Caenorhabditis elegans: one gene and its partner. The protein of the gene in region 1 interacts with the protein of each later gene in a pairwise test. Each region holds a gene or a part of one and is shown in the gene's direction. Other genes may lie near its edges. The genes, in order: F53F10.1 and mig-5.

Region 1 (6,136 bases):
GGCTATTCATCATACTTTCCGCGCTAGCTCACAGCCAATAAAGCCAACAATTTTTCAGTAAAGAAGAACAATAATGACAGCGACAATCGATGTCGATAACTTGATGAGCCGTTTGCTCAATGTCGGCATGTCCGGTGGAAGACTGACAACTTCTGTCAACGAGCAGGAACTCCAGACGTGCTGCGCTGTGGCCAAGTCGGTGTTCGCCTCCCAAGCATCACTCCTGGAGGTTGAGCCGCCGATCATCGTGTGCGGAGACATCCACGGACAGTACTCGGACCTTTTGCGCATCTTTGACAAGAATGGATTCCCACCGGATATCAATTTTTTGTTCCTGGGAGATTATGTGGATCGTGGAAGACAGAATATTGAGACAATCTGTTTGATGTTCTGCTTCAAGATCAAGTATCCGGAGAACTTCTTCATGCTTCGTGGAAACCACGAGTGCCCAGCCATCAATCGTGTCTATGGGTTCTACGAGGAGTGCAACCGTCGTTACAAGTCGACTCGTCTCTGGTCAATCTTCCAGGTAAGGGGAGCAGAAAGCATTTTGTCAACTTACTTCGCTGCGTAATAATGAAACAAATCTCTCAATTCCCCATTTACAGGACACGTTCAACTGGATGCCTCTCTGTGGACTCATTGGTTCCCGCATCCTCTGCATGCATGGTGGCCTCTCCCCACACCTCCAAACTCTTGATCAACTCCGTCAACTTCCTCGCCCTCAGGATCCACCAAATCCATCGATTGGAATCGACTTGTTGTGGGCTGATCCGGATCAATGGGTGAAGGGATGGCAGGCAAATACTCGTGGAGTCTCTTATGTCTTTGGACAGGATGTTGTTGCTGACGTTTGCTCGAGACTTGACATCGACTTGGTTGCTCGTGCACATCAAGTCGTTCAAGACGGCTACGAGTTCTTCGCCTCCAAGAAGATGGTCACCATTTTCTCGGCGCCTCACTACTGCGGACAGTTTGACAATTCGGCTGCAACAATGAAGGTGAGATTCTTTATTATAACTTCTCTGTGAAAATTGAATATTATAGGTCGATGAGAACATGGTCTGTACTTTCGTCATGTACAAGCCAACTCCGAAGTCTCTTCGTAAAGGATAGGATCGATAGATTGCCACCACCAACCAACCAACCAAAAGAGAAAAATGAAAACGGTGTTTACTCAAATTATGTGTTTGAAAGAATGAATAATTATTGAAAGAGCTACTATTTTTTACTATTTTGTTCCGATCGCACCAGTCATAAATACATATATACAAATTCCTAGTATCTGCTTGGAAAGATCATGACTATTCCTAGCATGCATAAAATCCTGCCTGCTTGTCTTGGCTACCTGTATTACTCTGCAATCATTGCATCATTTCGCAGAAAATCTTTGAAAAAATTGTCGGAAAACGTTTAATGCTTGCCTCTCTGCCTGAGCTGCCGAGCCTGAGCAACGCCAGGAACTCTTGGGAGAGATTAATCTGAAAATTCTTGAATCTTTGATTTTGTTGTTTTTTAGCATCGGACCGGAAGTTCATTTCTCGAGTTTCCAGACAACAAGTTCACCGGAAGAAAATTTTCAGCCTTTTTCCAAATGACGTTTTCACTTCAAAGGTGTCTTTTCTCGTCTGCGAAACTCTAAACGACTGATCCTATTACACATCTCTTATAACAGCTGACACTCTTCCTTTCAAACCGGTCACTACTCTTGCTCCTCTCTATTATACACATTTCGGCTCGAGAACAAATCTTCCAAATGGCCGACTCCATTGCTTCCATTGGGAATAGATATATCGATAATAATGGTTAGTTTTAAATTTTAATTTTTTGGAGTAAAAAATTGATATGTATCTAGTTAATACAATCTGCAAAAAAATCCATTTATTTCGAATTATTCTCTCGAAATTAAAATAAATTTGCCCGTTTTGTGTTTCACAATCAAGACAAACTAAAATCGAAACTTGATTTCTAAATTTCATACATTTTCTAAATTTAATTTTATCCATTTTTCCACTAGCAAATAAAATCGGAATCAACAGTGGGCGGGAATTGCGGCACATTTTTTTCCCAGCAAAATCGGCACATCGACAATTGCCGGTTTTGCCGATTCGCTGGAAATTTTCAGTTTCGGCAATTTGCCGATTTGCCGCAGATTTGCCGGAAATGTTGAGAGGGTTTTTTTCATAGGACGGAAACACTATGCCTTTTGGAAATTTTTTTGCCGTTTTCTTTAGATATTTTCATAGAATTTGCTTAGATGTAGGAACATTCACGGGTTGAAATTCGCAGATTGAAATTAAAGTTCTGAAATTTCAAAAAAATAAATGTACGAACCCACAATTCGCCGAAATTTATCGGTAATTGTCGTTTTTCCGACAATTTCGGCACATCGGCAATTTGTCGAATTGCCCATTTACCGGAAATTTAAATTCTGGCAATTTGCCGATTTGCCGATTTGCCGGAAATTTCAATTCCGGCAATTTGCCGATTTGCCAAAAATCTCAATTCCGGCAGTTTGCCGATTTGTCAGAAATTTCAATTCCGGCAATTTGCCGGTTTGCCGATTTGCTGGAAATTTCAATTCCGGCAACGTGCCGGATGGCCGATTTGCCGGAAACTCCAATTCCGGAAATTTGTCGATTTGCCGGAAATTTCAATTCCGGCAATTTGCCGATTTTCTGGAAATTTAAATTCCGGCAATTTGCCGATTTGCTGGAAATTTCAATTCCGGCAATTTGCCGATTTGCTGGAAATTTAAATTCCGGCAATTTGCCGATTTTCTGGAAATTTCAATTCCGGCAATTTGCCGATTTGCTGGAAATTTCAATTCCGGCAATTTGCCGATTTGCTGGAAATTTAAATTCCGGCACTTTGCCCAATTGCTGGAAATTTAAATTCCCACAATTTGCCGATTTGCATGAAATTTCAATTCCGGCAATTTGCCGATTTTCTGGAAATTTCAATTCCGGCAATTTGCCCAATTGCTGGAAATTTAAATTCCCACAATTTGCCGATTTGCATGAAATTTCAATTCCGGCAATTTGCCGATTTGCTGGAAATTTAAATTCCGGCACTTTGCCCAATTGCTGGAAATTTAAATTCCCACAATTTGCCGATTTGCATGAAATTTCAATTCCGGCAATTTGCCGATTTTCTGGAAATTTCAATTCCGGCAATTTGCCGGATTGCCGATTTGCCGGAAATTTCAATTCCGGCAATTTACCGATTTGCCGGAAACTCCAATTCCGGCAATTTGTCGATTTGCCGGAAATTTCAATTCCCACAATTTGCCGATTTGCATGAAATTTCAATTCCGGCAATTTGCCGATTTTCTGGAAATTTCAATTCCGGCAATTTGCCGGATTGCCGATTTGCCGGAAATTTCAATTCCGGCAATTTACCGATTTGCCGGAAACTCCAATTCCGGCAATTTGTCGATTTGCCGGAAATTTCAATTCCGACAATTTGCCGATTTGCTGGAAATTTCAATTCCGACAATTTGCCGATTGGCTGGAAATTTCAATTACGGTAATTTGCCGATTTGCCGGAAATTTCAATTCCGGCAATTTGCCGGATTGCCGGTTTTCCGGAAAAAAAAATCGTTTGCCCAAACTATGTTTTTTTCCAAAATACCAACAAAAAATGACAGTCCTGTATACTTAAATATCTTTAAAGGCGCATGCACTTTTTTCCATTCAAATAACTTTACCTGAATCCTCAATTATTTTCAGACACCGATATGCACTTTCTCCGTACATGGGCTGTCCGACGGTGCCAACACACAGACTGGGACATTTGTGAACGAATTAGGTTAGGTGAACTGAAAGAGGTACGAATTTGTCAGTTCAAATATGTGACTAGAACAATTTCAATTTCAGGCAAGAGATCGCGCTGCACAAATGGAGAAAACCATGAGATGGTGGTCTAGTTGTACAGCAGACTGGAGGAATCGATGGAGGTAAGTTAGACGGTACGGGGGCGCCTATTATTTCTCTCTCCTCTTATGGGTGCGAAAACTAAAAAAACTCGGCCACCCTCATAAAATGAGTTAGAAACTTTTTTTTTCGTTTCCCTTTTTTTTGGGTGGAAAAAATTTGTAAAAAAATTTTCCCGCAGTGGAGAGTTGAACTCATTTCGGAAAATTTCAGAAAATTTTGGGGTGAAAAGTTGTAGATAAATTGCTTAGTTTATCAAGTCCACGTAGAAATCTTCGTTCTGTGGGACGTTCTGAAACTCCTATGGAATCCCTAAAAACGTTTTGTTTAAAGATAATTGTTAAAAGAAATTGGAAATTTTAATTTTCAGTGCTGTTCGAGACGAGAGGAATCGTGCTCGTGAAGAAGCTGAAACATTACGACTCAATTATGATCTTCTCCTCGTAGGTTTTTCTTCTTTTTTCTCTTGCATGTTATTGCGCAATTCATATATTACGCGAACACAAAATTCTGAGAATGCGTATTGTGCAACATATCTGACGCGCAAAATATCTCGTAGCGAAAACTACAGTAATCCATTAAATGACTACTGTAGCACAGATTTTCGTGTACTTTTTCGTGCTTTTTTTCAATTCGATGCTATTCTAAAAATTTTCACCAATAAATGAGAAAAAAACAACGCAAAATCGGGCCAGTAGTATTTTAAAGAATTACTGTAGTTTTCGCTACAAGATATTTTGCGCGTCAAATATGTTGCGCAATACGTATTTTCGGAATTCGGTGTTCCCATAATAGTTTCCATAATACAATTAGGTCCTGGTACTATAAATACGAACTTTACAGCAACCGTACCATCGCGTTTAATAGTTTTAATGGGAAATTCAGCGAAAATTGCTAGAATAACTGCTGCGGGTACGGTAGTTGGAACATTTCATTCGTGCCTGGACCCATTGCTAAATTTTAAATTTTAAACATTTTTTCAGGAAGAAAAGAGATTTCTAGCGGAACAACTGTACCACGTCGACTCGGAATCCGACGAGCCAAAACTCGAAATCTCTCAAAAACCAGAAATCGACGGAACCAAACGAAATGCAGTTGTTCAGACAATTCATTCAATTTCATGTGATCCTCCATCAATTCTAGTCAAAAGTTATTCGGCGGCTCAAATTGAAGCAGTTCTTCGTGAGCCAAGTGTCGATGAGCCGCCCGTTGAGACGACTAAATCCGATATAAATGAAGAATTGAAGGCTGAAAATGAATTCCTGAAGGATCAGGCGAATGAGTTGAACAAGTGTCGAGAGAAGATTGAAACCGATGGAAAGACAATCCAGGATCTCCGTTTACGAATCCAAAGTATGGAGAGGGAGCTGATGGCGGCAAAAAATTCAAAAAGAGCAAGCAGTTCCTAAATGTTTCTTTTTTTTTTGAGTAAATAAAATAAACTATTTTAACTTCTTCGACCTTTATTTCTTTTTTCAAAGGAATTCGAATTCAAATTCAAATTTCGTGGTCAGGAAACATATGAAATTTCAGGAAAAAATTCAGGAAATCAGGAATATAACACAATCCGAAAGAGCAAAAAAAGAGAAATCGAGAGAAAAAAATTGGAATCAAGATTTTTTAGTTTGAAAAAGACAGATTGGATCACGGACAGGTTTCGAGAAATAGAAAATAGGAATTAAAAGAAGAAAAATGACCTAGAAAGTTTTTGAAATATAAATGGGGAATATTTGAATATTATTTGTGTCTCCAGGATGAGCAGGGGAGTCTTAGGAACAATCAAAAGAATTCGTTCAAATCCTCGATCAATGGCTCCAAAGCCATCTCCGCCTCCGAATCCTCACATGAAGATGCGTAGCCACCTTCACCATCACTTCCAATATCTTCGTTGTCACTGACACTTGGCGATGGAGAACGGCGTTGTTCATCTTTGTGGATTAGTTTTTGCCTGGAATAATTCAAATTTAATTTCAAAATCTCAAGGTTCAAAAGTTCTCACCAGCATTCTTTTCCAGAATAGTAATACACAGGCGGCACCGAATGCTCACTGTCAACAGGAATTGTGAAAGCGCCCATTTGTTCCCAAACGAGCCACTCGCCGACACGCAATTGACGGCTTTTCATGAGTCTTTGAGCAACATCGGTTCCATCCAAAGTTGGGCCGAGAATCGTTCCGAAATGTAGTTGCTCTTCAGAGTCAT
Region 2 (5,139 bases), on another chromosome or scaffold:
GAGAAGACAAGGTTTGTGCATAAGTTTCAAGGAAAAGACTGAGAGAAGTCTCAACAGCACCTCCTCCAGCCACAAGTTTCTTGCTTTCCAGAACTCTACGAACAACACAGAGTGAGTCGTGAACCGATCTCTCCATTTCATCGAGCATCACATCGTTCGCTCCACGGAGGATAATGCTGCTGGCAGTACGAGATTTCGGTCCCTTGATGAGAATGAGCTCGTCGTCACTAATTCTTTCTTGAACAATTTCATCGGCATGTCCAAGAAGCGAGGCATCGAAAGCTTCATCTCCTTCCAAAGTAGCCAAGGAAACAGTCAATGTGGCTCCAGTAGCTTTGGCAATTCTCTTCAAGTCTGATTTCTTGCATCGACGAACAGCCATAGCTCCAGATTCGACAAATTGCTTCAAGCACAAATCATCGATACCTCCAGTTGTAAGAACAACGTTGGCTCCGGCTTTCAAAATTTTATCAATGCGGCGTTTGGTAATATCGAATTCTCTGAAAATTCCATAGCTTAAAAAGAAACGAATAGTTTCAACTCACTCTCTGCGAATAGCCTCAAGCTTGGCTGGATCTTCAACAACGACTGAAATACCGAGGTGCATCTTAGCCTTCATCAAAGAGAAATCGAGACATGCGATCTTGGCATTTTGAACACGAAGTGGCATGGCCTGACTGGCAACTGTGCAATTGAGTGCATATCCTTTCACCAAAACTGATTCGCGAGCGCTCTTTCCGTGGGCCTTCAGAACATTGACTGCATTGATAGGATAAGTGACTTTCCCGTTATTTTCCACACGAACAGCTTCCGCGGCATCAACAACCAGCTCTCCGAAGAAATCGGCGTCTCTGAAAAATCAATTTTCTTGAAGCATAGACAACACCAAACTCACGGTCCGATAATCTTACTGCTCATGGAAGTTTTGGCAGCGTTGACAACTGATTGTCTACCAATCGAGTCGGAAGTGAATGAGATGTTTTCACTAATGTACTTGACGGCTTCCTTGCACGCGAGACGGTAACCATTGATAATAGTCGTCGGATGAACTTTTTGTTTCACAAGCTCATCGGCTCTCTTCAAGAGCTCAGCCGCCACAATAACGACAGAAGTAGTTCCATCTCCGACCTCCTCGTCTTGCAGCTGTGCAAGTTCTACAAGCACTTTTCCAGCCGGATGCTCAACCTCGAGTTGTTTCAGAATTGTGGCTCCGTCATTTGTGACAATGACATCTCCAACATCATCGACAAGCATTTTATCAAGTCCGACAGGGCCAAGAGATGACTTCACAATATTGGCGATCGCAACTGCCGCGGTGACTGCAATTAATTAATGTATACTTATATTGAGCTTTCGGTGTTACCATTCTGAGATCTGATGCCTTGTCCAGTAGTTCTTTTACCGGTGAGGGCAAGAATGGAATCTCCAGCTGATGCCATTACCTGAAACACAACCGTATTAACTTAGCAATAGAGTAGGACATTCGATATTGAGTCAAAAAGGGGCTTTGAATAAGCACTCAAAAATAAAAATATACGTAAAAATGAAAATATTTCAGTAAAAATAAAAATGCTTCCAGAAAATCGGGGATCCCTTGAATTCTGAATCAAAATTAAAATTCTTGTAGAATATTCTCAGAGCGCATCGTACTTCATGCATGCTAGAAGGGTAATCGTGCCGAGACCCAACACCAGCTGTCACTAGGGCGTATTTGCAACATTGTTCCCACCCGCGATTTATTGCCGATAAATTAAAAATAAAATTGTTTCCGCTAGTCCTTTGCAAACAAATTTGTTTTTTTTGTTTCCTCTTGTAATTTTTATAAATATTTTATTGGTCTATAATTTAAAATATTGAATTCAGATTTCTAACATTTATGGAGCCGCCATGCACATCAGACTGCAGCCAGATAAAAGTAAGAATTTTGATCAGAATTGTTTTTTATTAAGCCAGTGATTAAACAGAAATAATTTTCTTCCAGGTCTTCTACTATCTCGACGATGAAACGACTCCCTATGTTTCTGTTATTGAAGCCAGAGAAGGAGTAGCGACGCTTGGAAATTTCAAAAATTCATTCACCAAGCGTGGATATAAGTATTATGCGAAGGAACTTGACCCGGATATTCAACGGTGAGTTTTGGCTTTTTTAATTTTTGTAATTATTCTGTACTGAAAAATGTTCAGAGAAGTTAAAGTCGAATTAACAACTGATTCGGATCGGCTGCGCAAATCCCAGAATGGATTTTATGAGATTTTTCTCGTTAGCACTCCAGGATATGGAACTCTTCCTCGAAACAGTGGAACAATGACGCGACCACAGAGAACTGCTCTAGATAAGGTTCGATTTCTGTTATTTTCAAAAAAAACTGATATTTTAAGCGCCGCCGACGAAGTGCAGACTTTGACGCGACTCCGTACTCTGATGCTAGTCTTGCTCCGAGCACCATTGTTAGCAGTGAGTTTTTGCTATTTATGTACTCTTAAAAACCTGTATGAACGTTTTTCAGGAAGAGCAGGAGAGCATCTGGCAGAATTATACACTTCAAATTCAGAGGATCCGTATCAATATGACGAGCATACACGTCGAACAGGAGATGATTCTTCGCTCTACGAACCTCTCGCTGCTCGTGATATGAATAAGATATACGATGACGATAGAAGAAGGAAAAAACAAAAGAAAGAAAGATTCAGAAGACCGTATGTTCCAAGTACTATTAGCTCAGCGACGGAATCAAGTGTTAACAGCGGCCTCCCTCGAATTCTGGAAATTTATCTACCAATGAAAAATGTTCCATATCTGGGACTGAGCGTGTGCACAATTGATGGTCATATATTCGTTTCCGAAATTGCACCAGAAGGTGCCGTTGAAAAAGATGGACGTGTGAACGTTGGTGATCAGATTCTTCAAGTTAATAGAGTATCCTTTGAAGAACTCAGTGGGCCTCAAGCAGTTCGTTCGCTCAGAGAAGCTGCATCCTCCAAAAGGTATTTTTCTACGCATTAGCATTAATTTTTTTTAATTTTTAGACCAATTACTCTTTATATCAGTAAGTTTGCAAGAGGTGCCCCAAGTGAATATGATGATCCACTCGCGTCCATGGCGTCTGAAACGATGCCCCTCGACGTTGGAGTTTGGGTAGAAACCGCTGTGTAAGGGTACCTCGCAAGATTTATTTTCTTAATTTGATACTTACAGGCAGAACACTGAAAAAATGAAAGCTCTGGGTTTGGATCCACAGGAGCAAACGGCAACTACAATTGATGACGGAACTCTTCCATTTACATCGACAGCTTCTGATGATGAGGAGCGAATGCTTTACGATCAACGTAGAAATGGAATTCCAAGAGCTTTGATTGAAGAAGCAGAAAGAAAACGAGAAAATGAGCAAAATGAAAAAATAGAGCAACTCACAGAAATGATTGATCCCATTATTGTTGTTCGTTCTATGGCTCGTCCGGATTCAGGATTAGCTGTCAAAAATCGAAAATGGCTGAAAATTTTGGTTCCAATGTCTTTTATTGGTGAGTACTGAACATTCAAGTATTAGGATCCAAACAATCAACGTTTAGGCCGAGATCTAGTCGATTGGCTCGTTGATCACATGGCTGATATTCATAATCGGAAGAAAGCTAGAATCTATGCTGCGAGATTGTTAGCTGCTGGTCTTATCAGACATGTCGTCAGCAAGTTGACATTCACAGAAAAGTGCTACTATGTATTCGGTGATGGAATTCTTGGCAATGATCGTAATTCCACGGACACCACTGGTACGAGTGGAACTACAATGCGAGTTGAAGCAACTACTGAAGTGACGTATGTTGGCTCACCAGCACCACATGCTCTGGCAGCACGAGTTGGAAGAAATATTCCTCATCGATTAGAAACCACTACTCTAAGCCCAGTTGCTCATGACCAAACATGGCTTCGAAGACGTCGAGATTGTGAGAGTCCTATGACAAATGATTACGCATCGATGGTCGGAGAAAGCCAAATTGGAATGAATCCAGTCGGAAATTATCATGTTTTTGGGACGAAAAATAATCACCGTCAGGTACCGGCACCTTCTCAAGTGACATCCTCAAGCTTGACAAACGGTGAGAAAATTAATCGTTTCTATAGGGTGCAGGAGTTAAATTTGAAGCAAATATTCATTTCAATTGATATAGTATTTGCTGTTTCTTGACTACTGTACCCTTTGTATCCAAATGACTTTTCACATAACAGTATTTCCCCAACCAAATTAGTTACAAATTCCAGGAAGTGGTGGCTTAGGAGGCCCTCCGCCGACTCCTCTATCCAGTACTATGGTTCTAGCAGCTTCTCCGATTCAGTCGCAGAACGCAGTCAACCACGATTTCGACGGGGAGAACAGTAGCAACAGCAGAACGCGTATTTTACGGACTTAAAATTTAAAACTCATTGCCTTTACCGATTCTCGCCTTAATTCCCACATGCTTTATTAATATTTAAAACTATGCCCTGTTTTCATGTATTTCAGTAAGACTAACGTTTTCATTCATTCATGTAATTTTGAGTCTATTTATGAATTATTTTAAATTTCTTCATGACGATGTTCACTTCGAAAAACGATGTGTGATGAAGAAGACTTGGACAGCACCGAAGATAGTTTTAGACATCCATTCCGAGTAGTATGCAGTATCCTTCGTAGTATCCCAGGAGCACATGTTGGCCGTGCAAATTGCAAGATTATCGGTTTTTGCAGAAATAGTACAATGAACCAAAAACTTTTTGCTTCCATTGAGCTTCACTAAATTATCCGAAATTGTTTGGATCATCTTGCTCATCCAATCAGACATTTTGAATGGAGAATATGGAGTTTTACCAATTATTGAATCAAATGATTTTTGAATAATTAAATCAATTTCTTGTTCTTCGGCATTTGAATAGACTTTCTTTTTGAGTTTCTTATTTTTCTTTTCAATCAATTGTCTCAAAAGCTGAGCGTTTTTTGATTCAATTTGCCGCTTTGCTACAGAAGAAGTTGTAGAAGTGTCTAAAATTTCAAATGATGTTGCATAATGTGACAAAGAAAACTAACCTGTCATTTTGAAACAAGGAATGAATGAAATAATTAAAGTTATGCGATAAACATTTGTTTTCTAAATTTGATATATATA

The links.
Region 2: the proteins of F53F10.1 (region 1) and mig-5 interact in a two-hybrid assay, tested with the Caenorhabditis elegans proteins (2 studies listed by BioGRID).

The regions. Positions count from the first base shown.
Region 1 is NC_003279.8:3,833,369-3,839,504, reverse strand, and holds F53F10.1 (Coiled-coil domain-containing protein 102A), read left to right. Parts: upstream 1-1,697; 5' UTR 1,698-1,756; coding exon 1,757-1,805; intron 1,806-3,731; coding exon 3,732-3,829; intron 3,830-3,878; coding exon 3,879-3,958; intron 3,959-4,305; coding exon 4,306-4,378; intron 4,379-4,918; coding exon 4,919-5,344; 3' UTR 5,345-5,390; downstream 5,391-6,136. Other genes in the region: gsp-4 (Serine/threonine-protein phosphatase PP1-delta), read left to right, coding at 74-529, 609-1,001, 1,048-1,116; azin-1 (Antizyme inhibitor 1), read right to left, coding at 5,715-5,883, 5,935-6,136.
Region 2 is NC_003280.10:8,181,746-8,186,884, reverse strand, and holds mig-5 (Segment polarity protein dishevelled homolog mig-5), read left to right. Parts: upstream 1-1,861; 5' UTR 1,862-1,876; coding exon 1,877-1,915; intron 1,916-1,981; coding exon 1,982-2,130; intron 2,131-2,184; coding exon 2,185-2,338; intron 2,339-2,379; coding exon 2,380-2,455; intron 2,456-2,507; coding exon 2,508-2,985; intron 2,986-3,027; coding exon 3,028-3,150; intron 3,151-3,196; coding exon 3,197-3,522; intron 3,523-3,570; coding exon 3,571-4,095; intron 4,096-4,245; coding exon of another isoform or gene 4,246-4,258; coding exon 4,259-4,407; 3' UTR 4,408-4,562; downstream 4,563-5,139. Other genes in the region: cct-1 (T-complex protein 1 subunit alpha), read right to left, coding at 1-500, 546-851, 896-1,319, 1,364-1,439; dylt-3 (DYnein Light chain (Tctex type)), read right to left, coding at 4,576-5,015, 5,061-5,067. UniProt on the Caenorhabditis elegans protein: Plays a role in the signal transduction pathways mediated by multiple Wnt genes. Functions redundantly with other dishevelled family members throughout development.